Drosophila melanogaster: one gene and its partner. The protein of the gene in region 1 purifies or fractionates together with the protein of each later gene. This does not show direct contact. Each region holds a gene or a part of one and is shown in the gene's direction. Other genes may lie near its edges.

Region 1 (13,688 bases):
ACATATTTAAAAAGCCTGTCGGTTTCATACAACATAGAATGTATGGATGTACATACTTCCATTTATTACATCAAGACTTGATGTACTCAAAGCTAAATTTTAGCAACCATAAATTGATATTCAATCAGTATATTTATGTATGTTCCTTTTGTAAGATTATTCTTATCTTGTTTTATATGATTTTATAGACAGATCCATATAACGTACACAAGTTGTATGTTTGCTTGATAAGATTATACTATAGCGCTAATCATACTTCAAATATAAAGCTTTTGCGCACATGCGTACATACGTATGTTCAAATGAAAAGGATGTACTTTTGATTATATATATGTATTTATTTCAGTATACATTCATATCAATACGAACATATACTGATCATTAAAATAAATATTAACATAAGCTCAGGCATTGACAACGCTGACTGTATATTAATGTGCAATATATTTACATTGCAAGATACTTACATTTCATTATGCCGTATACAGCGTGATGATGATTTCAATTCATAGAACTCCATATTCTCAGTAACATTTGGTAAGAAATCCATATTGTCGTTATCATTCAACAAGTTTATATTTAGATCAAACTCCATATCAAAGCCCAAATCGATTCCAGATTCCGTCATATTTAGGATTAAATTTTTTATACTTAGGAAATTTTATATACCCAACTAACAATATACATAGAACAATTTTTATTTTTTACTAATTATGAAGTTCACATAATTTCGCCTCAGCAGTTAAAGATTCGGAACTACTAATGAATACCTAAAGTTTCATAACACGTATAGAGCTTTTAATAGTGGTGAGAATATGACAGTAAGTGATCGCACATATATCGTGATGTTAAAAGAGCTTAGAGAACTGCCAGTATCTCAATAAAATTTTAAGATATAATTATCTTGTATTTTACTATCAATATAGTAAAAAAAATCATTCAATGTACAACGACAATTTAACTAAATATAACTAAATATATGTAATTTGCATAATTATCATATTATGAAGGAAAGAAATCAAGCTATATATAGCGGCTTCTTAGACAAAAGTGATACAACTAAAGTTTCTTTCTCCTAAAGTTTTTAAGTATTTTTACTCTTCCCCTTATTAGGATTTTCTTTTTCTTATTAGATTAATTTTAAATTTTTAAACTTATCATATTACATTTCACTTTGAAATATATAAAATATATATATTTTTAAATAAGAAAATTAAAATACAAAACAGCTATCAAATCGAAAGTTTTAAACAGAATGAAGTAGTTTGGTATGATTATTTATCCGATGTACTTCAGTTTTTTCCGACTCTACTGAAAAGGGGAAGTGTTAACCGACTCTAACACAAAAGATATTTTCAGCATTGTTTTTTCTACAAAATATTCATAAACGTTATTCATAAAACGTTAAAAATAAATATTTATTGTGCTTTTATTATTGTCAAAACATGAACAATAAAGCATGCAGCTTTATTTTCGTAATTGAATTAAGAAAGTTATCTTTGGCAAGCCGAATCGTAAAGTAACGGTGTAAACAGATTAAAAACAAATTAATAAAAACTAATGAAGTTATTCCGGCATGCTCTGGTAATGGTCATTTTTTGGATTTGGGCAAAATCTTTCGATTTCGTTTTTAGGTGCTCTGGTTTTCGCAACATTTCTGATATCGGGATGCTTCATAAACAGTAAACAGCTGTTTCAGACCATAGAGCGGCCATCTTATTCACAATTTTTTAAATTTTATAAGTATTTTTACCTTCGTACATATGACCTCTTGCCAAATCGAAAATTTTTGTTGCCGACGGCAAAATTTTGTATGGCAAATCTGAGGTGGGGTCAGAAATAATTTTTCTATAAAATATCTATGTCGCAGAATAATCTTGTGGGGTTATGTGGAGTAAACAATGGACCACTAATCTGAGGTGGGGTCAGAAATAATTTTTCTATAAAATATCTATGTCGCAGAATAATCTTGTGGGGTTATGTGGAGTAAACAATGGACCACTAAGATCTAAGATCTGTTATGGCCAAACAAAAGTGCCCGTTTTACAAATCAAAAGATCGAAAATTTTTGTAGCCGAAGGCAACATGTTGTTTGTCAAATCTGAGGTTTAATCAGAAATAAATATTTTATAAGATATCTATGTGGCAGAATGATCTTGTGGGGTGATGTGGAGTAAAGAAGGTACCACTAAGATCTGATTTGATATAAATATAGGCATTTACTTTTCATTTCGGCCAAACAAAAGTGAAAAATTCTTGCGAATTCAAAAACCGGAGCACCAATTTTTCGATTTCACATCGAAATCGTAAGATTCTTACGAATTCGAACACAGGAGCACCAGTTTTTCGATTTTAAATCGAAATCGTAAAATTCTTACGAATTCGAATACCGGAGCTTGCCCGATTATATTTTATTTTATAAATTCAATTTTTCCCGAGCGCTAATATGGCAGAGAATTTCGATCAACTCACATTTGTGTTCCACTTTAAATTTGTCTTCATATCAGAGCACGTGCTTTTGGTTTTCTAAAAACAACTCCTACAAAAACCTTTATATTTAATATACAATGCGGTTAGTCTCTTTGTTTGATCTAAATTGTTTCTCTTGAGTATTGCTTGCTATTATTAAAAGATTTTCAACTCTCTGAAGTCCTTTTAGAAGCATAGAAGTATTTAGAAGATTTAAGAGTTAAAGTATTAAATAGTTTGTGATATCAGAATTACTTTTAAGTGGAAACGGCGTTTCATAAGCCGATATAAAAAACAATAAATACATATCTGAATTTATCGATAAGGTATTTCATATTATAAATTTATGTAAACTACAAATTTGTCTGTTCAAAAGCCTGCGAGTCATTGTAAAATACAATAATCATATCTGCAAAGTAAACTAAATTTATTATGAACGCTGGGTTATTTTAGTTTTCAATAAAATGTAATACCAAAGTTCTGTTTAATGTAAATTGGTAAACAATTTACGTGCAACTCTATACATTGTATTAATCAATTTTGGGCTATATGTGTATATAGATATATAAGTGAATGTATATATTCAATGTTACAGCATGTATTATTAAAAATATTAGTTTTTTAAGTGGCTCATCAGCTCTAAATTTAACTTTGCTTAATTTGTTCAGTAATGTTAAACTATATTTTTGATTTTAGTAATTTTAGCCACCCAAAATATGGAAAAAAAGATCTCATCGTCATCCCAGCCCCGGATTTTAAAAAAGAAGCACTTCAGGGTTAAGCATCAAAAGGTTAAATTATTTAGAGCCAATGAACCAATTTTAAGTGTGTTCATGTGGGGAATAAATCACACTGTATGTAACAAATATTAAACAAGAAAGGCAAGATAAGCTAATTTGAAATATTTCCAGATTAATGAATTAAGTCACGTTAATATACCTGTAATGCTTTTGCCGGACGATTTTCGAGCTTATTCTAAAATTAAGGTGGATAATCATCTATTTAATAAGTAAGAAACCAAAACAAATACATTTTTGATATTCTCAATCGTTGGTATTTTCCTGTTATTATATCCACTACAGAGAAAACATGCCGTCACATTTCAAAGTCAAGGAATATTGCCCCCTTGTGTTTCGAAATTTACGTGAAAGATTTGGCGTTGATGATGTTGATTACCGCGAGTCCTTAACTCGATCCCAACCTATTCAAATTGATTCGTCTGGAAAATCAGGAGCGCAATTTTATCAGAGTTATGATAAGTTTTTTATAATAAAAAGTTTGACATCGGAAGAAATTGAACGAATGCACGCATTTTTAAAGCAATACCATCCGGTGAGTAAAGTATGGTTTAATTGACTAAAATATCCTTATTATAATTTTTAGTACGTTGTGGAGAGACACGGAAAAACGCTGTTACCTCAATACTTGGGAATGTATCGTATCACTGTAGAAAGCGTGCAATATTACTTCGTTGTCATGAGGAATGTTTTCAGCTCCCACTTGACAATACACAAGTATGAAATATGTTGAAAGTTACACCGATTATATGTATAGTATAACCATTATTTATTCGATAGAAAGTTTGATTTAAAAGGTAGCACCGTTGATCGGGAAGCATCAGAAAAGGAACTTGAAAAAAATTTGCCGACTTTCAAGGACAATGATTTTATAAAACAAAAAGTGAAATTAGACATTGGAAAGGAAGCTAAGGACAAACTAATGGACACGCTGAGCAACGATGTGGATGTAAGCAAAAATTTTTATTTTATTCGTATAATAATTGTTTTTATCAAAATTTAAACAAGAAAGAATGCGAGTTTCCCGACTATCAGATATCCGTTACTCAGCTAGTGGAAAGTCAAAGCGAAATTTAATTGGGGAATCAAATGAGAAACAAGGGAGAACGCTATAGTCGGGTTCCCCAACTAGTTGCCCTAATATTAACGGCATTAGATGGGAGGAGAAAAATGTGAATTGACTGGACGAAGAAGTTCGCTAGAAACTGCGACACAACTAATAAAATTAAATAAAATTTGTTATAAATGTGGGCGACAGGTGGCAATAAGTTTTTTGGCATATCAATAGAAATTTACAAGACTAAAAAAAATATGAAAAAATATAAAAACAATATTCAAAAGTTCAAATCTTCATGTCTTCATTTAATAGTTTCTGAGATCAAGGCGGTCATAAGGATTGACGTTCGGATTCAGACATTGATCCTGATCAGGAATATAGCGTCCGAAACGCTTCATATTACCTGTTATATACTTTCCAACAAATATAGTATACCAATTTACCAAAGACAATAGAATAACAAGATGCGTAACGCCATACGATTTTTTTTTGGCGTGGCTTTAGAGGTGGCTCCAGGCTCTCTCGAATTTTTGTTCAAGAGCGAGAGAGCGGAAATCTCTACAGCCAGCAGCTCTTTTCTACGCGTACCAATAGTACCAATATAGTATACCAATTTACCAAAGACTATAGAATAACAAGATGCGTAACGCCATACGATTTTTTTGGCGTGGCTTTAGAGGTGGCTCCAGGCTCTCTCGAATTTTTGTTCAAGAGCGAGAGAGCGGAAATCTCTACAGCCAGCAGCTCTTTTCTACGCGTACAGTGACAGCCGACAACTGTACGTATGCTCATGCATTGTAAATTTGACGAAATAAGCCCTTCATCTTAGAAGTTCTTAGACTTTAAATCTACATTATTTTTGATCAATTGGCACCATGTACAAATTTATTTGTTTTGAATTGCCTTAACGTTGTTTTTATTTAAATATAGCTTAGAAATAATAATAGCCTAATCTTCTATGTACATAATACCAGAAAATAAATTTCAAAAATGACTTTATATTAGAATATTTGTCATTAGAGTATTCAGCTTGCGACGACTAGACTTGTTGAATCGATCTGAAACATCGAAATTTGGGAAGCTGTAAGTGCTATAAGGAGTGCAATTAACATATCGAGGATCATCGTCTTACATATCTTGAATGTTATTAATTCATAGGGACTACAAATTTGTCGCCTTGCACATTTTATATAAATTTCAGGTCTTGAAAATCATACGAATGTGCTGCCATTTTCAAGCATATTGCGTTAAATCTAATTCATAAAAAAAAGTCCTACGAAGTGGTACTTGAAAACCATTTAATCTGAACAAATTTATCTAAAAACCTTTAAATTGTTGTAGTTTAACCTATATAACCAGTAGATATAATTATGTCTTGCATGACTTGATAATTTATTTATTTATAAATATAAATTACCAATACTTTTTGATAGCATATGGTGACATATAATTTATTTTAGCTTTTAACCAAGTTGCACATTATGGATTACTCTTTGTTGGTCGGCGTGCATGACTGTGTTCGTGCAGAGGAGGAAGCTTTGCAGGGAGATAATATACTAACTGTTGGTCGCAGTGAGAACAGCGAAAGCGAGGAATGCGATAGCGGGGAACGGTAAATAAAAATTATTTTATTTAAGCCTTAAATGTACGCAGTTCTTGTTAAAGCTGGACGTATAACACTCCTCCCGATTCTCCAAGAGGTGCACAGTATAAGGAAGTCGTTTATGAAGTTGATATATATGACATTCCAAGTATTGAAGGTAAATGTAGTTTAAAAGTTTTGTACGCAATAGCCCTGATAACTTAACAAAGAGCATTTTTATATTGGTCGTTTTTATATTTTTCAAGTTTTTGAAAATGATGCGTGCGTGCTTATGACGTAAAAAAATTGAAACAAAATTTACGTTAAAGCTCGTTTTTTTAAGATTTTACCCAAAATATTTGGAAAAACAATATATGTTGTTTTTCCATTTTATGCATGATTAAAACACCGGGGAGTACCGATTTCTGAATAGGATACTTAAACTTTCTCTTCTGATTCAGCAGTTAAGATCGTAGCTTCAATCAGACTTGGGAATCACTCTTTTAGTGGCAATCATCATAAAATTTCAGTTGCTTCAATCGTCAACTATCGTGACCATTTCGCTTCATTTGATGTGTTTCGTGCATTGCGCTTATACAAGGGGTACAATATAGTTAAGCAAAAATGTGTGATAACCTTACACCAATTTACATTACATTCAATTTATTTAAATAATTTATTAAAGAATAAATATTATTCTTTAATATATTTAATAATAAATATTATTAAGAATAAATTTATAAAGAATAAATAAATACTTTGTTCTTTGACATACAATGCAGGTAAAAACTATTTTAATAGAACCCCATTAATAAATTTAAATTTCAGTTGTTAACTAATGAGATTTCTATTACTGGTTTCTTAGTGCACATTTTAATTTTTTGGTCCAATCACTTCTACCGTTTTGCCACTAATACTACCGGTATTAAAATTAGAGAATTAATGTATATTTTGAACTGTATTGCAGAAAAACGCGAAATTTACTTTATTGCAATTATTGACGTTCTTACACAATATGGAGTAAAAAAACAGGTATTTCATTTAATACTTAAAAGAAAGGTTGTAATTTTAACAGCATATTTTAGGCAGCTAAAGCAGCCAAAACTGTTAAATATGGCAGTAATGTTGACGGTATATCAACCTGTGACCCTGAACAATATGCCAAACGATTCTTGGACTTTATGGATAAAGCTATAGAATAAAGTATTATACTCATTATGTATTTGCCACATTCAAAATGTCAAAAATGTATTTATCTAAGACATAAAATATAAGATATTATTTTGAAGCTTCCAGATGATCATCTTTTGGACGAATGCAAATATATTGCCTTAAATATCCATTTAGAAATAATTCGGATTTAGTGACCATCACGATGTTACTAGAAAAAATTGGTGAGTCGGGTAAGGATATTTATTCTACTGCACTTACAACAAAACGTTTTATTTGAGTTTTTGATGGGTTCTCCATAGCAGTTTCCGATTTTTTCATATTTTCAAAGCGTTCCCGTATTCTGAAATTAAAGGACCATTACCTTGCAAATTAGTCAAGATACATAAGTAAGTTTGATCTTACGCTTTGGCACTTTCAATAGATTCGTTTGAAATAAGCTGTGAATATACATCAATGCGACCTTCCTTTATTTCTTGTTCTATTTCGTTATTTTGCCATTTTTCAAATTTCGCTCTCAATTGCTTAGCTCGTGCAACACTTTGCGCCTAAAAAAACGAGAAGTGTATTTAATGTACTTTGTAATTACTTCTGGTAACTTAAAGCTATAAAACATTAAAGACTCTTTAGTTGTTATTGGGAGTACAGGACTTATTACACTGGCCAACTTTTTCTTGAAAAGGTAGTACCAAGATCACCGAATTAAACTTATTATGTAATAGATTTAGCGAGGAGCAGGTTCGTAGCATTCTCTTTGTCGAGGACTTCTCCTACAGCAATTACATGTAATTACAAAATTTCATCGAATCTAATTTTAAAGAACTTTGACCACAGGCAGGCTTACAATAAAAAATGTTTGGCCGTTATAGTGGGCGTACGTGGACGTTTTTGCCATATTGATATATATGTGAGATACACAATCAAAAAAAATGTATAAATGTTCGTTACTCATAGATAAAAATAATAAAAAAAAAAAACACCGAAAAAAACTGGAAATACATATAATAAACTAAAATTTACAAAAGTGTGGGTGTGGGACCGGTTTGTGGGCATGGCCAAATTAGGGCAACATGGGTCAACAAACTTGCGCTACGTCTATGTCTTTAGAATCTATTGATCCTGATCAATAATATATGTACGTTATAAGGTTGCAAACGTTTCCTTCTACCTGTTACATACTTTGAAACAAAACTAGAATACCCTTTTACTTTATGTGTAACGGGTATAGCAAGAGTTAGCATTCACTCTTTAAAAAAGATTTAAAAAAATTTTAAAATGGAAAGGTGTGGGCGTGAAAGTTTTGGGCGGGGCAAAAAGTATTTTGGTAAATTTATAGAAATTTACAAGAGCAATAAAAAATTAAAAAAGATCAAAACTTTTTGCTAAATTGTGGCCGTGGCAGTTTTGAGCAAATTGTGGGCGTAAGAGAGGGCGTGTCAAAAATTTGTTCGAAAAATCATAGAAATTTACAATACTAATAAAATTATGAAAAAATATCCAAACAATTTACAAAAGTGTGAGTGTAGCAGTTTTGGGTGGTGTGTGGGTATTAGAGTGGGCGTGGCAACATGGGTCAACAAACTTACGCTGGGTTTATGTTTCTAGAATCTGTATGCTTAATCTTAACCTTCTAGCTTTAATAGTTCCTGAGATCTCGACGTTCATACGGACAGGCAGACAGACGGACGGGCAGGGCCAGATCGAGTCGGCTATTGATCCCCTGATCAAGAATATATATACTTTTATGGTCGGAAACGCTTCTTTCTGCCTGTTACCAATACACGGGTATACCAATCAAAACATTTTTAAAAATCTGCATATACATACTTTTCAAGGAATCTACTTTTTAATCTACGAGTAACGGTTATAATAAGGTACGATTGAAATTCATTTAAAAAACGTTCATAACGCCTGTCTCAAGTAGATAAATAAGCATAATGCATAAAACGCATATAAAACGCATATAATATATATAATATAATGTTTGGGCTTTTCATTGAAGTTTAAGAAAATCTTACCTCGAGAAGTGCCTTATCGTTGTAATAAGAGTTTGAAGGGTTAATTTCAGACTCTTCGTCGTTTTCACTATTTTGTTCGTAGTCACTGTCGCTTTCCTCCTCAGTATCTGATCTAATAAATTGATGTGAAATTTCAGGTGGTGGAGTAAAACACTTCAATGGCTTTGGGTTTTTTTTTTTTTGTTGATCACTCATTTTTTGTTCCTCCATTTCGCGAAACTTATTTAAAATAGTGGACGTTGTTTTCGTTTTCTGCAAAATGTTATCATTGAATAAAGTCGTGCTAATTTGTTGATTCGTTTCGGAGTCAGGAGGTGGAAACATTACAACGCCCTCACGTGGCGGTGTCATGCGGAATATCCTTTTTTTATTTTCGGCCGGAGAATATGTTTCGAAGAATTTAAACTTTTTTGACAACTCTTCAGTGGCGACCTTAACTTCTTCTGGCTTTGAGTCGGATTTGACAATTTCAACATCGCTATTCTGTATTTTTTAAGTTATGAAAATAAGAACGTTCTAACTTTTTTAATTATAGACTCACCTCCTGCACTTTTTGATTATGTATCTGATATTTTTTATCGGGGAGGGTATATTGTACATGATTGCTTAAACCCGATTTTATATTTGCATCTAGTTTCATAAAGATGTTTCTTGATGCTTTGCTTATTCCTGTATTATTAAAAAAGGTTAGGTATATTTAGCAAAGCTATTATTATATTAAGATATACTTTACTTATAACAGGTTCGTAAAAACACAAACTACGAAAAAATTAGTAAAAATACATAGTGCGCAGTTTTACACAAGTGCCTATTTTGCAATTAACTGTGCTGTTACGAAGGCTGTTATAGTATAGCCTTACCAGATTCGAATACATCCGCATCCTCATGAATACCACAACTTACTTCGCTTGATAGTATCTTACTATCTTTATAAACTTCACCGTTCTCAAATCGGTTCTTTATTTCCTGAGTGGGCTTAATAGCACAAATATCTGGGGTTTTGCCAACTGATGTAACGGGTTGTTCTGATTCAGCAACAGCTAATTTATACATTTCTTTTATTTTGGCTTGTTTACCCAGAAACAATCGAGAGCGTATGTTTTGTATTTCTTGTTTTCTTTCCTCGCGGCGCCCTTCCTTTGCCATTAAGTCACCTTGCTCAAACTTAGATCTTATATCGTTCATGGCTTCCCCCAAGCCTACAGGGGTTTCTCTTTCGATCTCCTTTTTTAAGCACATAAAATTCATGTCGCCATCGCCATCACTATTATTGTCACTGTTTTTATCGTCTAATTTGGTTAGTTCTGAATTAGGTATCCCTAGCCCATGAAACTTAGTCAGTGTAGACTGTATTGACTTGCTATGCGTAATAGCAATATCTTGACGTTCTCGTAAATTATTGTTATGTTCTTCATAGCCATTTTCGAAAACTTTAAATTTTGAGCGCAGATTAAGTTCTTGGAGCTCGTCAAGGCCAAGACTTGGTTTATCGGATGCTAAAATAGTTAATAATTATATTTGATTATATATATTCATTCTTACCATAAATGTATGTTGAATAAAATGAATAAATTTTTTATTAGTACATTTTCCACATTTCATGAACACAATATAAGAAAAAAGTTTACTACTTAATCTGGCTGGAACGACGAATGATATGTGTTATTGACTTCTCGCCCCTTTTCTGGGTATATTATAGTCTTTCATCCTCTTCCAGTGAAAATGGGGAAAACAATTCAGATGCCAAAGAGAATCGAATTTGTTGTGTTGACTGACTAAATCGTAAGCAAAACTATATAACAATTTTTTTGCACAGGTCTAACACGGAAAAGGGGAAAGATTATTAAAATATATAAGGTCCATTTAAATTAAAAAATGAAATTGAAATTGAGTGCCGAAACCCATTTTTTTCAAATGTTTTTCTCGAAATGATATTTTTTTTTGTATCAGATCAAAAAGTTATTCAGAAATGTATCTATAAATTGTGAATATTCTTTATATTATTACAAAAAATATAACCAGAATTTTTGAATAAAAATGAATATAATTTTTTTTAAAGAAATGTGAAAATATGATTATAAAAAGGTGAAACTTTAGAAAACACCAGTATATTGAAGTTCATGTTTTTCGATAATGTGACACTTATAATAATAACAACTGGTATTCTTCTCAAGAGAAAATCTTGAAGAATTATTCTTACCTTTAGCAACATCCGGCGGTAATTTAATTGGCTGATTCTCTCGTATTATCAGTTCGGCTTTTCGTGGGGTAAATTCTTCGTAAACTACTTTCGGGGCGAATATTAATTTAAAGTGCATAGAGCAATATAGACTTCCATCATGAACATTATAGCTATCAAATCTGTGGGTTATTACAAAATAAGAATAAAAATCGAAAATAAAATAAAATTGTTAGATTGCTTATAGAGCTTACAAACGACATTAACTGTAAAATAAGATTAAAACTTCTAGACCTCGGCGTTTATAGGGATAGACGGACTAGATCGATTTTAAATTTATGAATACTGTAAGGACTCGGAAAACCATATTTCAACGTGATACATACTTTTCAATGAGTTTGATTGAATTCATCGATGGTTACGACGTATATTATTATTGGTTCAACAAAGTTTAAAGTATATTATAATATATATTTTTTTCGGTACTCACTTAAGGTGTTTGCCACAGTCCTTGCAACGTAAGCACGTTTTATGGAAAATAGTCGTTGCTGTCTTCAAACTAAGAATGACTTCCTCCATTTTGTACACGGGTTTCTTGCATTGGTGGCAGTTTTCAACCTTCTCAGGTATTGTAGACTGGTAAAAGGAAGGAAATTAAATTTACAAGCAGCTGATTAAATTGATTTAAGTTAAAAAATCGACCACCTTTTGTTATTTTGTAAATGTAATGCGTTATCTTTATGATACTTAGCTTACTCGAAAAAGTGATTGAGCTTTTTTAGAATCTCGTGAACGTACATGAATAACATTACGTTTTTGTAGATCATCGAATTTCGTAAAACTTTTTTTCTAGAAAATATAAGAGTTGTAATTTAAGCAATATAAGTTGGTAGGAATGTATACATAAAAAATAGATATTTGTATGATACACATTGTTAGAATGGGTGAGATGTATTTCCGTTACAATATACCCAGTAATACCATAGAGGCTATTTAAGTTCAATACTCAGGTTAAAAGAGCGCGAGGGAGATGATTATATGAAATAAGATAGGGTACTGTTTAAGAGATTGTAAACTATCGCCACAAAGCGGCAGTTACTTTTATTGCTCACGACTTTTTGTGGTCAGGTCAGGTACGCCTTAAATTCTTAATTTAATAAAAAAGTTTACAGTAGGGATTTAACCGTAATGTTCATGGCCTATTGGTAAAAGCGTTATAGGCGACTTCCCTCTTGATCCCGACAATCGGATACCCATTAAGCCAGCTAGAGAATTTTCAACATTTTTTGACATATCGATAGAACATATTTTGCAGAAGTTGCAGGTTTGGCCGGTTAGTGGCCGTTAGAGATGGCGTGTCAACATTTGGAAACAAACTTGCGCTGCAGCTCTCGAATCTTTATGTCTCACCTCAACTGTCTAACTTTTAAAGTTACTGAGATCTAGACGTGCATACGGACGGACATGGTCAGATGGAATCGGCTATTGATCCTGATCAAGAATATATATATACTTTACATAGCAAACAAACTTGTTCTCTGAAGAAGTGTCACTAGACTTTTCATGTTTTATTATTAACACATGCAACACATTATTTACTTTGTGTTGCTATTTCTCACATTGTAATTAACGAAACTTATAAATATTAATAAATATTTTTCCTGCATACATATATATGTACATACATACATATATGTACATATTTCTTAAAACTAGAAAAATCCACAAAATCTTACCATATTTATATTTTGGTTATCATATTCATTTGTTTTTGATTTCTTAGTTTTTTTTTTTTTTAAGGGTAATCCATTTCCGAAAGATATTTTTGAACTTTGGGGGTTTAGACTGTCCATGTTAGTTTAAACGGCTTGCTGGTAAATTTTAAAGTGCAGACGTCGCTGAAATAAAATTTTAATTATTTTACTTGACTGTGATCATCGGATAGGTATGAGAAACTGTCCAAGGGTTGCCCAGTACTGATTGTGTAAGACACAATTAAAAATGTTGTCTCTGCCTGTTCTGCAGAACGCTATTTTAAAATTCTGAAATAGTTTATTAAACAGGTTGATATACGAAAATTTAATTTGGCTTAAAAATGCATACTATTAAAAAGCGTTTGCTTAACACCGGTTCGAAAATGTGAACTCACACCTTTTGTTAAAATTTTCATTATTTTGAAGAACACGTTGAACTCTGGGAAAAATAGCAAATTTATTTATGATACCTATTACCGATCTCTACCTAGGATATTTATATAATTAGGAAGCTTTTCTACGAATACACACTCAACGAATCTTCGGCATTGTATTATAAAGTTATGTATTGGCTGATAAATGTATATTTAAATGATGGACAAAATATATGCATTTTAATATATAGAAATTATTTCACAAATGGTATTTACCTTGTTAAATTA
Region 2 (18,329 bases), on another chromosome or scaffold:
ATATAAAGTAAAGTGGGTGGGTAAATAAAAGCTGCACTAATTTAACGGAAACTTCCTATTTTCTTGGCCAAAAGACTCACATGGAGATCAATAGGACAAAAATCGCTGTTGCCAAGTAGATGTTGTTACACTCAGCACTGAAAGTCAAACAAACAAGCAACTGAAATAGGCAAATATTATCGCAAATCGAGAGTGTTAACTGCTTAGCATTGCGTCAAGTACAACAAGAGCACGCCCCCTTTTCCCACCATGTTCTCGGTTTTTATTTAAATGAGGCTACACTGCGAGAAACGAACACTGCTAAGGACTTCAAAGGAACTTGTCCTCTTCAAACACACAGAAACCTTTCGTTTAGTTTAAAAACCCAAAGTCAAGAAAAACATATATGTTTCTAAAAGAAAAAAATAAGAAAAGAACATCCATTTCAAGTGCGACGGTTTTCTTTCCGTGTGCTTATGTAGCGTGGGCGTGGATGAGCTGCGACCAGTTTTTTTGGGGGGACCACACCACCCCACCCCACGCCAACCCGTTCCCAACCCTCTCGAGATCGAAGAGCCAAGCCGGCGGTCACATGGCCGAAATGTAAGACTCGAGGTAGCAACAGCCACACACGACAGCGTTAACTTGTCGCCATGCAAAATATCGTGCGTTTTGCTGACGCAGCCGTTAGACGTGCCAGCAGCTTGGCCGGCTCTAGCCCCCGATCCCGCTCTGCTCCATCCAGGTGGGCTACCATGGATCGGGGCAGTAGCAGCACTCACTACTGCAACATCGGCGGTGGTCGTATTGCAGCTCGCAACATGAAACGCCAGCAGTTTTCAATTTTTCTCAACCGTATCTGAAAGGTATATAGGTTCTTCGATAAAACATAAAATGATAAAATGCAATTTCGTGCACTTTCTGTGCCCTTTAAATTGACAACGTTCAAATGTATGCTTTAGCAATAATACTGCATAAATATAAAGATATTCAATACCTTTTCAAATTGATGTACATAGGTATTTTTCGTATATTTTTTCAATTTTGTTACCATTTGATTGACAACAAATAATGACTCGCTGCAATAATTTTGTGTCAGTTTAAGGTTAGTTAAGAGTTTTTGGTCAGGGTCCAACGAAGTCGACTTCACAGAAGGGACTTTCAAAGTGGCCCGAATGCGAATGAGGTTTTATTTCGATTGGATTTCGTCGCTTAATTTTTTCATACGCTAGCGACGCGCGGCAATAACATTAAACATTAACGAGCATGGCTAAATAAATAAATAACATAATCAAGAGGCTTGCCCGGGCGTCGGACAAATTGTGATCCGGGGCAGGTTTTGCTGGCGAATCCAGCGGATCCAGCGAATCGTTTCGATTTGCAACAGTCGCCGGTCGCCAGTCGGTCGTCGGACATTGCCGCGGATTCCCGAGTCACGTAGGCCAGTCTCCACAGAGCCACCAAGCCACCGAGCCACCAAGCCACCGAATCACCAAACCACCGAGCCACTGAACCACTGAGCACCACCACCAAGCATCAAGCGCAGCTCAGAGAGCCACAAAAAAAGCATTACAAATGAAATCCAAATCCACACAGGCGCTGAGAACGAAGAGTAGCAGGCACAGATACGGATACACTAAGAAAAAAATTAGCCCATCAACTAAATTGCCAATCAAATTAGCTCAATGGATCAGATGTCCAGCAGGCAAGCAATTAGAATTATAATAATTCAATTCAGATAAAGGTTTAATCCTTTATGAGTATATATGTACATTAAAGTAACTTCATATCTTTTAGTTCATTTGTTGCACCAGCGTGCGTCCAATTCCCAAGAATTGCTCGCTGTGTACAGATGAGGCAGATAAGCGGCCTCTAGATGATGATGAACTGCCGGCTGGACAGCCGCCACATATACATGATGGACCGCCGTCGAATGGAAATATGGGAACGGGGATGAGGTCGTTATTCCTTTGCTGTGGGAAACAAAGCACCATTCCGCTGTACCGCTCGCAATTTGCAAATTGAAATCAATGATAGCGAAGAATTCAAAAAAAAAAAAAAAAAATAAATAAAAAGTACACATAAGTATTAAAACCGAAACAGAGCAATTTGCGAACGATCGTCGGCCAGAGATAATGCTCTACTTTGGCCAATCTCTGAATGAGATCGGAACAGTTGCTTCCCGAGGCAGATTCAATTGACTTCTTAATGGCCAAAAAGGATTCACTGGGCCTGAAGCCCTGAATGAGTTTACACGGTTAAGGATGAATTGAAAGTTAGTTAAATGAATGAATTGATCACTTATCAATAGGAATAATCCAACGATTCCGTTTACCGGAATGGGAAACTCAACCGTACGTGCTACATTCTTAAAAATCAATGTGTTATCTAAAGACTGTTCATAACCATTAACTTAGTTTAACTTATAAAATACTTATAAATGCATTAATCAAGTAATTAGGGCAATAAATGAATCATAAATTGCACAATCTGCATGAGCAGTTTATTAATAATTTCATTTTGCCTAACAACTGGTGGAATTCTTCTGGAATTCTGCCAACTGATTGTCTTAATCTATCCACCGAGCCAAAGATCACTGCGAAGAACATTCTTTGATCGCAGCCTCTTAATTGCGAAGAATTCTCATGGGGCATGCCGCAGATGACGATCGATCGATCCATTATGGGGACACTTATGCGGTTTAATTATCGCTGATCGGGTTTAATTATTTCCCCACTCGATCGATCGTTGGTTTTATGGCTCTGTTTTATGTCTTTTTCCGCTTCTTATTCCCTCCTAACTGACCTGCCCAAATGCGCATATATTGTAGATCATAGAGAGAGCGATGAAGATCGGTGGGAAAGCAAGCATTCATTCGCACTCGAGAGCCATTGAACCTGATGATAAGCCCCCCCAAAGAGAGGCTCTCTTCCTTCTCTACCTTCGACTTTAAGAGAGTCGCAGAAGTAACGGGCAGTCGGCAACAGTGGGCCGTTCGAAAACAAAAACAAAAAAGCAAACAAATGTCGATGGTTGCACACGACTGCGTTGTGTGAACAATGGAGAGCTGGTTAACAGTATTGGAAGCAGAATCAGAATCAGAATCGATTGTCGTCAACAAGCAACTGCTGCTGATAACAACCGACTGAACTGCAGCGGAGTTTTCTCTCCCACTCTCTAGAAGTTTTTCGCCACTTTCTGGTTGCTTATCATGGCCGTCAACCGTTAAAATTGCCGTGCAAATGGTGAAATACCAAAATTGGGCATTTTCAGCTGTTGCTGAAATGTTGATAACCTATTTACGGTATGATGCACACTTAATTATATTTTTCAAACGTTGTTTACTTTTGAAAGTTTCCGGGTAAATCCATTAAAAGTGTATAAGTCCACAAAAATGTAGTAATAACATTTAAAGATCTTGAAAAACAAATATGTGAACGATATTTTAAGAACATATAACATATGTACATATATACAAACATATTTTTAGCCGTTTTAGGGTTAGAATCTTTTAACCACATAACAGTACCTATGAACATCGTGAAAAGAAATATACAATTATGTATTTCTTTGCTTCAGTTTGCCCCCAAATTGATTAAATTTCCCCGCCATTTTCAGTGCTAATTGAGCTGTCAGTGATCTACGTCTCATTTCTCGAGTGATTTAGGTGACTCATGTGATTCCAGGAAAGAAGGCGTGTGGGTGATGGGCGTGGCGGCACCCAGTAGACATATGTACATATGTATATACATACATATGTACGTACCCCTTATATCTGGATCTGCTTAGGCCGCTCACGTGGTTCGCTGTTTTTGTTTTTTCCACCAAGGGATTACGCCGCACTTCGCACAATGATTGAGTGAAGGCGCGTGGGTGGGTGTGGAAAAGGAGGCGGTACTGTGAGACGAAAGAGGGTGGTGTGGGTGTGTTGGCCACATCGCCCTCTTCTGTCGAATGATTGCCACATTGGACAGCTGATGCTGACGCATATGTCTTTCGACGGCTCTCCAAGTTCCTCTCTTCTGCATAAACGCTCGGTGTGCGTCAGGTGCAGAAATAAAAACATCACCGAGTGTCCCCTAGCCGTCTAATGGATCCCCCGATCCGCTCTTTTTCGGTCACCTTTCATCCGTCCGCATTTGCTGGCCCATATGACGCGAAAGCCGGCCGGCACGTCCGCATTGGAGGAAAAACGGAATGGAATTTGCCACAACGCCAGCTGGGAATAAAAAAAACAGAACCAGACTTGGCCCACGTACCCCTGCCTTCCGAAGAAAAACACTAGCAAACCGGCAAAACTATAAACTATAAACTATTTTCAACGAAAAATTATGAATATTATGCTAAAGCAAAGCAGCATGGCTAAAACCTTCACGAATATCGAAAACTTCAGCTATTACCAAATACATAGTGTTATTATAAAACAATTTAATAGTTAATCTTCAGCATCTTCAAATACATCACATTGCTATTCACCATGAGAACCATTGACGGATGATGTATAATAAATTTACTGTTCAAATATAATAGATACCAATTGGATTCGTAAATTTTGTATTGTTTACAGCATTCCGTGCCACGTGGTCCAAAATAATTTATAAACTAGTTAATGTCAAAATTCTATGAATAGTTCGCTTAATCGTTATATCATTAACCAGTCCACATATCACAAATTAGCGACCTATTTGATGATTGATTTAGTGGACGTAAAATATATACAATATATTTTCACAATGATGTATCTCTTTGTGGTTACAACTGCAAGGAATTTAAATTATATGTATAGCTTTAAGGGAGCACCTTATTATATCAACATTTTCATTGCTTTGCTAAAGTACAGACTGGCTAATTTATGGTTAAGCTGCAACTTTAATGAATAGAAATAAAGGTAAAGGAATATTTGGACGATCATCTGTTCTAACATTCTTGGTGGTAGGTAGGCAACCTTTGATCTTGGTAAATTGTTCCCCTCTTGTTTCGGAGTGCTTGATTTGTTCGACTGACTGATTGATCGATTGACTGCCATTTGTAGATTTTCGACTTGAAGATTCGATTCATTCATTAATAATATTATTGATTTTAATTTAATTTTTCTTTGGAGCCGCCAACTCGCGGAACGTGCGGCACATGACAAGGGGATCAACTCGAATCGATAAGATGTACATGGAGAGTACTTTCTATATACGATTCCTGGCATGGCCGATCGCGTCGATCGCCGTTCGATGGCTGCCCACAAACTGCTCATTATCTAATTGCGGTTCAAATCCCAGTCGCACTCCCAACCATTTCGATTCGCTTCGATTTGTCTGGCCGGACGTAGATCCCTCCTCCGATCGTTTTTGGCCGATCGCCTCCTTATGGTGCATACAAATACTGCCATTAAATCCGCTTTTGGTCACCCAATTTGGCCGGACATCGTGCACTGGCCGTGATTTCTTGCCCACTCATCGTGGCTCTCAAGAATCGGTGCTCTGCGGATTTATCGCAGGGTGCTGGGTGCTGCGGTGAATCGGGGATAATGACATGGTCCCGTTCGCTGATTGTCCATGATTAGTCTCTTCACGCCCAGCTTAATCAAGTGAATTTTAATCAAACAGTAAACAGTTCGTTTATTCTATTTTTTGCCAGCACGTTATTTTTTTTATTTGTGCGAAAGATTTGCCACATCGCAAGAAGTGGTCAGTTTCAGTGGGGGACTTTTAACTGATCTGGCTAGGAGGCGATCCTCGTCAAGCCCCACTGAATCACTGGGTGATTCACCCAACCAGATTTTCGTTATCATTAGCATTTCGAATTGGGCTGCGGCTACTTTCTAAGAGTCTACGATCTACTATCAAAGTGTAAATGGATTATGTTTGCATGTATAGTTAGCTACTTGCTCAACTACCGTTTAGTTTAATCATTGCTTTGTATTATATATTCATCGAGTGATCAGTGCTGAGCTGAACGTGTTCTTTTCCATATGATTCACCTGTGATTTCTTGCAGATGTCTTGCGTCAGTGGCAAATGTGTCTAATACCCACAAAATCCGGGGGGTGGGTGGAAAAGTTTTTCCCCCCGAATGGGTAACAGAATATTAAATATCCGTTGGGGAGTTTCTCCGAAATCGAAATAAGAAATCGTTCCCCACGACGCAAGTGATCGAAGCCATTCGCCGAATTTAAGCCGACGACTCACTGGTGATAAACCAGAATCGGTGGATCCAATGTACATATGGATACATATGTATGTATGTGTGCATTAGGCGGGGATTGCTCGAACGCGCTGGTGACGTCGCAGGAATTCAAGGCATTTGCATCCCGCTGTGGATTCCACACTTTTTCGGCGCAACATTGTTGGAAAGTTTCTGGCGAAAAAAATCGAAAAAAATAAACGTCTGAAGGTTGGGCCACTAACTATTCACATGTGGCATCCATTTGTCAGGTGCTTATAAGGCGGCATATAATGCCAAACGATCGCAGCGTGACAGCCACCATTAATTGAGACTTGCTGTTGATAAGGCGGCGGCTCTCTTAAAAACCTCGCTAGATTTAAGAGATCGCCAGCTGAAGCCCAGCCTCCCAACGGCCGCTCTTTTTGGGATAATCCAGTTTAAACGCATCGCACAGTGGGATTTGCAATCCGGCTTAAGTGGGTTGACACCAATGTTAAAAAAAAAAAAACCAAACAATTTCAAATTGATTCAAACGAAACTGGAATTGAGTCAATTGTTTTGCTAAATTTATAAACCAATGCCAATAATCGCAGACCAATTGACTAATCTTATCTGTTCGGTTCCATTTTAAATCATACGATTGATTGTCTGAATATATGGCTTAATTTGTATACGATAGTTAATACATTTTACATATTATATTTAGATTACTATATAGATTGGAGTGACACAGATCTATGGATCATCGATCTGTTCAATTGTCTGATTTTCATTTCCAAGCGTTGGAAATATACATCCTAGTACAGATTTTATCTTATTGGTAGTATTACATATATTGGTAGCTTTACATATAATTACACAGTCGATCGATATATATATATAACGATATAACAATAAAGCCATCTATCAATCCAAGTGTTTGGCTTTTACGGTTATAAAGGCAAATGCACTTTGCGGATAAGAAAGCACGCGATCATGCTGATCTGGACTACTGGGCAACCCACTGGGCACCGCCATTAGTCCCACTGTTGCATCAGCTCCGCCGATTCGATCGGAGTGCAAAATGTAGATCCCGAAGAGAGCGGAGCGTTCGCCGCGTCCGAAGAGAGCGGAAGCAGAGCGGGCAGCGCCGTTGGCGCAAGAACTGGCGTTGTCGGCGGTATATATAAAAGCTAATGGCAGCGGCGACTTCCCATTCAAAATCGCACACCTCAACGCGCCGCGTGTCGCACTTGGTCCCCCCGGAATCCAAAAAAAAAAAAAATAACCACCCCAAATATTAACCCAACCCCACGTTAGAATCGCAGTCAAAACCCACAAACCGATCCGAAAGCGCGGTGTAGAAAAATCCCAAAATCCAATATTTAAAATATACAAACGGAAAGTTAAGTAACCCCCATTAAATTTTTTTGCTGTGCGAAGCGAGACAAAGAAGAGTGCCAAAAAGAATACAGAGCATCTAAAAAGGATTATCAATTCAAAGAGGAGCCACAGAAACCAATGCAAAGATGTGCCACAATTCAGGGATCGTGGAGAAAAACAACGAGCAGCAGATCGAGCGCTACATGGCCTGTGGGATGCCATCGAAGGCGGTGAAGAGTGTCAAGTACACGCTGAAGAAGCGCGAGAAGAAGGAGCAGCAGCGGAGAGATCTGGAAAAGGATCTGCACAGGGAACAGCAGTTCCTTGAGGAACTCGAGCTAAGCAGTAGCGCCAGCGACTCCTCCTCCTCCTCCTCGTCCTCCTCGGTCACCGGCAGCGATAGCGAGGATAGCGGCGTTACCGAAACCGTTTTGAAATCGTCGCCGTCGGCGGATATGACAACCAGTCCAAAGGTCATCTCACCGGCCCCCACACCCAGAAGCGACCTCTTACGATTCTGCCCGCGATTTCGCAAGCTGCAGCAGGAGCAGCAGCAGCAGATGCTCAAGGAGATGGAGTTGCAGGAGGAGGAGCCCTTGGCCACCAGCACGCCCGCCGCCGCCCTGAAGGCTCAACAGCAGCGCAAGCTGAGCTCCATGGAGCCGTCAATGGACGACGCCCTGGCCATCGGCACCCAGATGACTAGGCAGGTGTCCGAGCGAATCACCTGCCTGGTGGCCAAGCTGCAGGCCAGTCGCCTGTACACGTAAGTCTCCCACCATTATTCCCCGCTAAAACACATCATCCATCATCTTTCAACTGGACTCCTAAGTTGTCTCATTTCAATAATTACCTGCTACAAATTTAGGAGATAGAGTTCCGTTGAAACTTTCTAATATATTCGCATACTGCCACTTAAGTCACTTTAAAATATTTAACATTTGGATAGTGCCGCTTAAAATAAAATATCTGCTAGTTTTTCTACAATTCAGGTTTTTGACTCTTAGTGCAGTTTCTATTATTCCATTAGTTCTGTTAACAACTCTGTTGCGAATCCAATTAACTTATTGGTAGTTTTACTCCGTTGACGGCGAATATTTTGTATTTGTATGATCACAAAGTGCAAATACTTCTAAAAATAGCCAATGAAGTTAATATTTACGGGAGAATATTGAGTTACCCGAAGTAAAATTGATCTGTATGTATCATAAAGATTATTTTGTAGCGATCATTGGTCGGCATATAGCACGCCCCCTGTTACTAAATATGTACCAATAAATTCATCAGCTGACGAAGGAAGGAAATCCTAAATGCTAGCGCCACTATCAGCTCTTATCAGTTCATTGTCACGGCTGCGGATCATGCTGATCACGCCCCTATATTGATATTTATAAATGCAAATATAAGCGTAGAATTTTTCCACCGTCTGCTGTTGTCTGGGGCGTACAACCGTTATGCAAACAGCAGACACAAGAAACGTCTGTCGTTGGTCTATTAACACACTAAAGTGGCTTCTTAACATAAGCATTAAAGACTATTAGACTAAGTTTAACAATATATGTATGTATGTATTTAACTAAAATGTCACAGCTACTAAACACTAAACTGATTTGCAGCACTCTCAAACTTTCTGAACAGCTTTGGCCAGAAAGCGAAATACAACGAAGACCATTAAACAGATTGTTAGCACCCCATTGATAATGCCTGGCAGCAGACGCCAAACTCGTGACCTGCACGATATCGATCGCCACAGTGGAACCCCAAGAAATGGAATAATTTATTAACAATTGCATAGCCAAACAGAAGAACCCCTCCTTTCCTAACCTTAGTTAACGTAAGCCCCAATTTCTGTTGGTGATTCACGGGAATTTGGGCCTCTAGGCCGCATTACTAACGACAAGTGCGTGAGTCTAAAAATACGATCAAGTGATATTCGCCTTGACCGTAATGCTGACTCAATGTCAAGCGATATGTTAAACCTCGGGTGGCGCGGGGGTGTGTCTAGAAACGGTCGTTATCTTGCGGTCAGTGGGGCGCTATGACGACAATTGGCATGTCAATAGAGTTCCCTAAAACCCCCTGAATCACCCGCTCTTGTTGGCTCGCTCTCTCGCCCAATCCGCAACCAACCACCTGCTGGAGTGCAAAGTGCGATCCGGGTCCTACGTCATCGGGAAGAGCTTTCGCGTGCATACAGTCCGGGGAAAAACTGTAGCATGCAAGGAAGGACGATTGATTTAAAAGTGATGTCGCGGCAAGACCGTTCGTTACCAGTCGATTGAGTTATTTAGTTGCAAGTTTGAAAAAATTTATTAAATCAATATTTGCATTTATGGCTGGCCTAATATGTTGACTGCAACTGTAGTATGGACTTGCTGTCTTTTCTTCACCCCTGTCCATAAATCAGCTGCGTTCGCCGCGTTTTATCGTTTTATCAGCTGGTCGCCAGCTGATTCCACTGAATTCGCCCCAAGTGCAAGTACAAAGCTGCATTATCCACGCTTTTTTGCTATGAATACCGCATAGAGATTGCCAATTTCTGGCTTTTAGTTATGGTCCCCTCGAGAGCAACAGAGAGAGAGGGTAATAGTGGGGGGGGGGGGGGGCGGCGAAAATATACAATATTCGGTTGCATGCGTTTGCGCACGTACGCCACTTGGGCTCTATTCGCCGCGCGACAAAAACAAAAACGAACGGCGAAAAAAGTGTGCAAAAAAGACATAAAAACGTAACAGACGGATATGCAAAATGCCAGACTAGGAAGGGTTGGTGGGGAGACGGAGACGCAACAAATGCGTAGACACGAACAGAAAGGGATAGCCATAACGTGGGGGAAAAGGAGACGGTGAATTCGCACGATCGCAATCGGTGCAAAAGTTCGCCGCAAATCAAATCTAATCGGACATGAGGGCCACGTGGGTACCCCCATAACCCATTTTCCCGCGGAGTTTAGACCATCGTCAATTGCGTAGCTATTGCATTTATAAGTTATAAGTTCACAACAGGAATTGAACCGAACGGGTCACAAAAGCACTTCAATCAAGAAAATAGACCTCATGGCCTTGAGACAGAAACACACATACATACATATGTATATGTACATACATATGTACTTATATCAATATGTTTACAGAACCCCAGTTTTGAGCCATGATCGATAATAATCGATACTGTGCGATCAATTCGATACATTTCGATCAAATGCCGATGGTCTGGTAGAAAGTTAGTCTTCTTTTCCAACATTAAAACTTCATTAAAATAATGTTAACTTCTAAATTTAAATTCGTACTATTTGACAAAAAACATTACTCTCCCATTGCAGAATTCTGACGCGTACGACACAGCCAGCACACTTGATAGCTGTTTGCATCTTGGCCTTTGTGCTGATGACTGTGGGACGCGACCTCATCGACCCAACGACAACGGTGGCAACAGCAGAAGCAGCAGCGTCTGCAACAGCAGCATCGACGAGAACAGCAACGGGCGGAGTTATGGCGGCCTTGGTCTTCCTGGGCGCCTTTGCCACCCACTTTGGGTCTCAGATCTGGATGACATTTGTCTCGGGTAAGTGTCCCCATATCGCAGGACTTTTCTGATCTTCAGGGATCACACATGAGCATCCCAAACATTCATTGTTTCCTAGATGAAGCTCATAATGCATAATGCCATTGAGGAAATTCATTGACTCATCTCAGCGAACGAAGTACTGTGAAGATGGTCTAGCCATAACATTCAGTTCGTCAAGGTTTCAGCATATGAAATGGTCACTGATCACTGATTCCATTGCCAAGATCAACCAATTTAATAATACATTTCTTTAAGCCGATCAACACACACTCGCTTCATTTGTGCGCCATTCCGCCAAAAATCGTAATTACATTTTGTAGAATTGTTGGGCAGTAAATAAAAACCGATTACTAGCAAGTCTAATTTTTTGCACATCCTTGCAGGACTCTCGCTGTATTTCTCTCTGCCCCGCCACGTTTTCGGGCAGTGCCAGCAGATCCTCTTCCCGCGCTACTTCGCCCTGAACGCCATGCTCAGTCTGACGATGCTGGTGGTGTATGCCAAGTATTTCCTCAGCGGATGGACGACATCGGCGGGCATCCAGATGGGATCGCTGGCCCTGGCGGCGGGAATTGAGGTGGTGGTGCGCCTGTACCTGGTGCCACCGATGCTGCAGCTGATGCACGAGAAGTACAGGATCGAGGATGCGATCGGCAGTGGCCAGGAGGTGGGCAGCCTTGTCCAGGGCGACCTCGTCGACTGCCCGCACTATCAGCGCATCCACAAGGGATTCCGGCGCATTCACATGACCATCGCCATTGGCAATATGACGGTCATGCTGACCACCTGCCTGCAGCTGTATTTTCTGGCATCGAAAATACGCCTTAGCTAAGGCAAGCCCGAAGTGAAGAATTTATAGATTTAGGTATCCACCACATAACAACGCATACACACACACACACATTACTACTACTGTACGTTCCACGTTCGATAAATGTCTCAAATTCAAATATGGCTTATTGAACACTTGAGTTTTTGAACTGGTCCTCCATCCGGCCCCAAATGCCCTTCCTCCGCCCCACACACGCCCACACCACCCATACGCCCATGCACGAAAATATTTAATTTCTCCCAAGGACGCCTTGTTTGCGACGACCTTTCCAATCTGATTTCCTGTGATAAACTCAGCCCAAAACTCCCAAAACAAAACACCCACCCGCAAACCACAGCACATTTAGCCTAGAGTTGATAGCCAATAATTTACAAGAAGTTATTAATTAATAGCCTATTGATAATTAATTATACTGTTTTTTTTTTTTTGTCTCATTCATTAATTTTCTTCTGTTATTTATTAATCCACCGAAAACTATGTTTTTCTCTGTTTTAAGTGCGGATATTAAGTGAATGTAATTTATATTAAAACAAACAAACAAAAACAACAACAAAAGAAACAAAATCAAAAACCAAAAAAGCACAAAAAGAAACAAAAACACAAAAAAAAAACCATACATCTGTTCACACATGAACACGAATATATTTAAAGACTTACAATTTTGGGCTCCGTTCATATCTTATGTAAATGAATCGAGAGCGATAAATTATATTTAGGATTTTGTTATCTAAGGCGACATGGGTGCATTGCTCAAAAACATGTAATTTAAGTGCACACTACATGAGTCAGTCACTTGAGATCGTTCCCCGCCTCCTAAAATAGTCCCTTAGTGGGAGACCACAGATAAGGTCCTCGCCGCTCAAGATAGGCAGATGTGCCCGAGCGTGGGACCTCGATAAGGCGGGGACTATTTACTTAGGCCTCTGCGTAGGCCATTTACTTTAAGATGCGATTCTCATGTCACCTATTTAAACCGAAGATATTTCCAAATAAAATTAGTTTCTTACAAAAACTCAACGAGTAAAGTCTTCTTATTTGGGATTTTACACATCAATAAAAATATCCAATCAATGTGTAAAATTTAAATGATTCTTTTTCTTGCGGCTCATATGTACATTAGATCTTTAAAAAGATGTCAAGAAGATGAATTAATCGAGTGGATTGCCTACTTCTCGGCTTTGGAAAAATTAAATGTAAGCTTGAGTTGGATTTCTGGGGAAAAGAATATAAATAATATGCTTTAAAATAAGCAGTTATTTAAAGACGTTTACTGAGGTAACTCTTCAGCATGTCCCTAAGTTTTCATTTGTAATTGCAATATAAAACAGGAATTTCTAAGTCATAATAATTGTTTTATTATTATTATTATTATTATTATTAGTTTACGGTATATACATATATCCACTTACCGCTTCGATTTCCTGCTCGAATCGCACAGGCCTCAGCCGGCATAGCACCACGACGAGATAGATGAAGTTGACAAAAAGTCCCATGCCCGACCACAGGATGACGTCCGGTGCAAAGGCCACCAAGTAGCCATGCATGCCCATCATCAGGCAGCCAATGAGCAGCATGGCACGCATCCACAGGGCGCCGTAGGGACCGTGTGGAGCCAAAAAGGCTAGGAAGAGAAAGGCCCAGCCGAGCTGAAAGTACAGGTGATGTGGCCCGAGGCACTGTTCGATGGACCAATCGCCGGGATTGATCGATCGCAGGGTTCCATTGTTGTCCCAGGTGATCGTTCCACTGCTGGCGGCGCTCGTTCCCGCCGTGCTCTGGGCGATTAAAGTGCCGGCGGCGGAGGCATCTGCTCCAGATCCCGAACTGCCTGGTGCTCCTGCTCCCGTAGCAGCTGCTCTGCCCATGCCAATGCCCATGACACTACTGGCGCTGCTGCCGGCACTGTTGATCAGGGCGCCCATACCAACGCCAGCTGCACTGCCCGCCGTGCTGGGCATTCCGTTGATCCAGGCGAACTGCCTTCGTTTCAGTCTGTCACTCTCCTCTCAGCCTGATCGTTGAGCTATTTTTTGCAGCACGTATTTTGCCTAATTACCAAATTGATTGGTTGATGTACTGGTTGGTTGTTGTCCACGCTAGGCGAATGCCAAAAATCTGCCTTTTGTTTCTATCTTCCACCTTTCTCTCCTTCGCCTAATTCGTTTGTTGTTGCTTACGCGCGGTTTTCCTCAACCTTTGTTGGTGGTGGTTTGTTTTGTTATTGCTGCTGCCCTTTTCAAAATGTTTGTGCTTTGCGGTTGGTGTCTTGAATGTATTTTTTGCTTGCGGTTCATATCCTAGCTAGTTGAAATTTGAATTACTTTGCATTTTACAGCTTAGTCAGCCGTTTAGTTAATGGCCTTAGACTCTTATTTCCGTATTTGTTTAATATTTAGCTGGGGCTATTGGTGAGCTAACCTTTGATGAGGCTACTGCTGCTGCCGCCTGTCACATTTTGCATCGCTTAGGCAGCTGCTGAAAGAAATTGAAAAAACGTTGTCAAGAAAGTTTCCAGTTTCAGCTAACGAATTAGGCAAAGAAATGTTAAGTAGGGGCAGTTGCTGAATAAATGCGATAGTAATTGGCTTTGGCAATTTATTAATTAACTATTAATGGATATTGCAACACCAACAGTAAAGCCCCGCTGTGAACTCTTACAGCTGCTAGTGAATGCCCCAGTTCTTGGAGTGTAGCCACTCCTTGAATTATTACTCCTTGAGTAGACTAGGGAAAGGATATCAGATGACGGACTACTTATTACAAACAGAAATGTACATAATGCAATTCAAAAGAATTATATTTTTACAGTTTGTTATTTATTCTCTCAATAAGTATTTTGTTATTGACTACTGATATTGATATTTATAAAACACATTACAGACCTCAAGAGGAATTTAATACAATACTGATTAGTAACAAAGGCGCTGAGTACTCATCGGAGTTAAAGTAATTGTTTATAAACATTTAATATGATTATGAATCTCGGCTGACTAATAGTACATACAGATGTGGACATACATACAGTATGTAGATATGAACTTTAGCGACTTCTTCTCGTAACTTCAGATCACGACGCACCCAAAATTCCGTATAAATTCTCAGAAACCCGTAATATTGTATATCATGCGAAAATCTACAAAAAATCTAGGTAATCGGGTATAAATCATAGCAAAATCCACTGAAATTCACGGAAGCAAAGACTATCTGCAATGTTATTTTTTTATTTTATTTTTTTTTTTTTTCGGCCGACAGAGATCCGCACAACCTGTTTCCGACTCGACCAGGCCAACAAAACTTGGCCAAAAGCACTCCAGAGAGTATATACACATATAGAACAAAGCAAACAACGGGTGCGAGTTTTGTTTGCTGACCCCAAAAAAGAACGCCAGCCGAACAAAAAAAAAAAAACACTAAAAACACTGGGAAAGTGGCCAAAAGTGGGCGAGGGCATGGTCTATACGGTCCGTGGTCCCCATATAGTTTATGGTATTGGGGTTGGTCTGGTGAGTGCGACTGGAAAACGAAACATTTCCGGCCTGGACATGAATAATAAAACAAAGCCAACGAGCAGGAAAGATAGTGTGAAAAGAAAAGGGAGAAATTGTGGATACAAGAGCGACAAAGAAGGGCATCGAAATAATCAATTTGATGTCGCAAAGTTCGTGGTCGCCCATGCACTGGAAGAAAAAGAAAAGCCCAGAAGATAACATTTCCAAACTTTTCGACAATGCCAACTAAAATAATGTGAGCATTGACCCGATCTTGATGGCGTCTTGATGATGTCTTGACCTGATCACGATGGCGATACGATATTCAAATTCTAATTTACCATAACATATCTACGATACAGGATTTTCTCTCAGTGTGATTATTGACAGTGGTCAACCAACCGATGACAGGCAGTCAGTCTGACGTCCACGATGATGATCATAATGCGCTAGTGATGTGGACTGTTACTCAACACTTTGCATATTGACTGCACTGCCACAATGTCTTTGGCGTGCGCCTAATAACGATAATGATGATAGCGGCGCAAGTGACACACATCAGTCACAAAAACAAACAAGGCCAACACTTCCTCGTCATTATCATCAACTCTTCGGGGGTGTGCAGCAGCAACACAAAAAAAGCAATGTAAATCAGTTGAGTGTTAACGAAATGCAAATACCCTAAAAACGGAATGAACATTTACCACCCAGAATAGAGAAAAGAGTGCTTGTTCTTGGCCTCGGTCAAAGAAATTTTTAAAAAACGTTGGCCTATCTATTCTATTCCGAATATCTACAGCGTAGCAAATGAAGAGTTGTCCGGTCTTGAATATCGACGAGCGCCACCTAGCGGAGGATATACGTATTACTCATATTTCCTGACGTCGTTCTAAAAATCTTCATTTATTTAAAACTTATTTTTTTAACAAATTCTTTTGTTCTTTTTGGTGATTAGCTAGCTAGTTGAAGTATAGGTAGATGTTTGGAATACATATATTAGATAGAATTGGTAGAATTTGGCCAGAAAATTAGGAAAAAGCATTAATAGGGGGGGCGTTCAAAATTTAAATTTCAATATTGCACTGCACTGTCACTTGAATCTGTAATCTAAGTCCAAATATTCCAGATCATAAAGTTCACGTTCATACGGACAATCAATAAATTGCTTATGGATAATACAAGCACAATATAATTCAATTTTTTATATTTTATGGACTTTAGGTCCGTGTTGAAATAACAATTTTTTAAGATATGTGCATACATATTTATGTATATAAAGTAATGTTTATAATATATGGTGATTTTGGTTTGGTTTATTGGTTTAATGCTTTCTCCCGAGCGCGCCCAAACTCAAAAACTCCAAATACTTTCCATAAAGGGTATATCCACACCAACGCACGCACACACATTGTGTGGCAACAACAAAAATGTGGGCAGAGAAGATGAAGTCATCGCTTTGTTGCCTTGAAAAAAAAAAACACACACACATACAACACGAAAAACAAAACAAAAAAATACAAAACAACAAATGCAAATACAACTAAGCGCGACTTCGCTTAAATTTAAGTCCATAGCCAAAAGTAAAATGGGTACAATGCGAACGAAGCAAGATTCAAAAACTAGAAAAACACAAACAAATATGTAGTACAAGTGAAAGAAAACATGAAACTACATTTAAAAATAATAAATAGCTATAGGTGCAACTATGAAATGACCTGCATAAAAGTTACACTTACTATGTTAACTAAGAGCTCAAAACTAACCTAAAACATTGAGGAATTGAATAAAGACAATGACTTAAATTAGGTTTAAATAATGCAGTTAATTTTCAAAGTTTTTACGTTTTTTAATTTCGAAGAACGATAAAAAAGACAACTTAAAAGGAAAGACTTTTCTTGCGAAAATCCCAATAGTTTGCGACTGATAACTGCGAGCAGAAAGGAAAAGTCGCCGGGTGAAAATCATGTGAAATAGGGTGGGTTGAATGACATGCCAGTGGCCAATGACGATATCGGAAAAGTGTGGGTTTAATGGCCGATATGAAGTCCCTCTTGACTCCCCCAACCCCATTTTTTCACGACGAAGTCATCGATTGCCTTTGTCCAGCAATTGATGTTTGCTCAGTGGCAATCATCGTGAAATCGTCGTGGGGGGCATCATCTAATGAGAAATGGCATTTGGCTATTACATGTAAGCGATTTTTTGTTTGAATTTCCCTGCAAATGATTATAATTATGGAGAAAGTCGCGGGTTTTATAGATGAGTATTATCAAGCGAAATGGAAATTACCCTTTTTCAGCAAGGAGAAAACTATCATAGGAGGAAATACAATATATATTTACTAAACGCAAAAATTCCCCTTGGACTTCCGATTGGACTTATGTACATATGCATGTACTTCGAACTAAGCACTCTGAATGTTTAAAAACATAAATGCATTAAAATTGACTTTAAAAATAAAGGGCATTCAGATATCGATAAGGAGCTATAAGGAGCTAAGGCGCCCGCACAATTCCATATCTCGCCCGATTCTAATTGGTGTTTGGCCCGCAGACAAATTGTGGTCGTAATCCAATTGGAAGCGGAACTTGTATGGCAACAATTGGAAATGAAACCGGCGATAGAAGGGAAAATACGAAACGAAAAACAATAAGAGAGAGAGAGAGAGTGAGAGAGAGAGGGCGAAAAAGGGAAGATCAGACATTAAAGTCATAAGCTTCGTAAAGGCTTAATTACGTGGAATTAATTGTGTAAAACACAACGCTTGCAGCATTTCTTAAGATTCCTCGACTGTTCCTTTGTTATTTGTAAATTTTAACTACTTTGGTGGGGCAAGTGGAGACTGGTGAGCCGAAAGTGAAACGGCGGCAACTTTTTGCTGTCCTCCGTTTTTTTTTTGCCCCTCACCACCAATTTCCGTTTCCCACGTGTAAACAAAAATAATAA

Evidence for each region.
Region 2: the proteins of PIP4K (region 1) and CG32512 purify together in Drosophila melanogaster (affinity purification with mass spectrometry, with the first as the bait; one large-scale study listed by BioGRID). This does not show direct contact.

Annotation. Positions count from the first base shown.
Region 1 is NC_004353.4:1,185,955-1,199,642, reverse strand, and holds PIP4K (phosphatidylinositol 5-phosphate 4-kinase), read left to right. Parts: upstream 1-2,794; 5' UTR 2,795-2,935; intron 2,936-3,165; 5' UTR 3,166-3,185; coding exon 3,186-3,323; intron 3,324-3,380; coding exon 3,381-3,478; intron 3,479-3,551; coding exon 3,552-3,801; intron 3,802-3,852; coding exon 3,853-3,983; intron 3,984-4,046; coding exon 4,047-4,215; intron 4,216-5,783; coding exon 5,784-5,935; intron 5,936-5,988; coding exon 5,989-6,083; intron 6,084-6,657; exon of another isoform or gene 6,658-6,872; coding exon 6,873-6,937; exon of another isoform or gene 6,938-6,990; coding exon 6,991-7,107; 3' UTR 7,108-7,224; downstream 7,225-13,688. Other genes in the region: CG33521 (uncharacterized protein), read right to left, coding at 7,284-7,286, 7,337-7,418, 7,481-7,623, 9,094-9,576, 9,635-9,762, 9,954-10,589, 11,294-11,454, 11,763-11,908 and 2 more.
Region 2 is NC_004354.4:21,056,533-21,074,861, reverse strand, and holds CG32512 (uncharacterized protein), read left to right. Parts: upstream 1-7,321; 5' UTR 7,322-7,642; coding exon 7,643-8,262; intron 8,263-10,273; exon of another isoform or gene 10,274-10,400; coding exon of another isoform or gene 10,401-10,411; intron 10,412-10,671; exon of another isoform or gene 10,672-10,718; intron 10,719-10,818; coding exon 10,819-11,060; intron 11,061-11,446; coding exon 11,447-11,895; 3' UTR 11,896-12,585; downstream 12,586-18,329. Other genes in the region: bves, read right to left, coding at 13,305-13,853.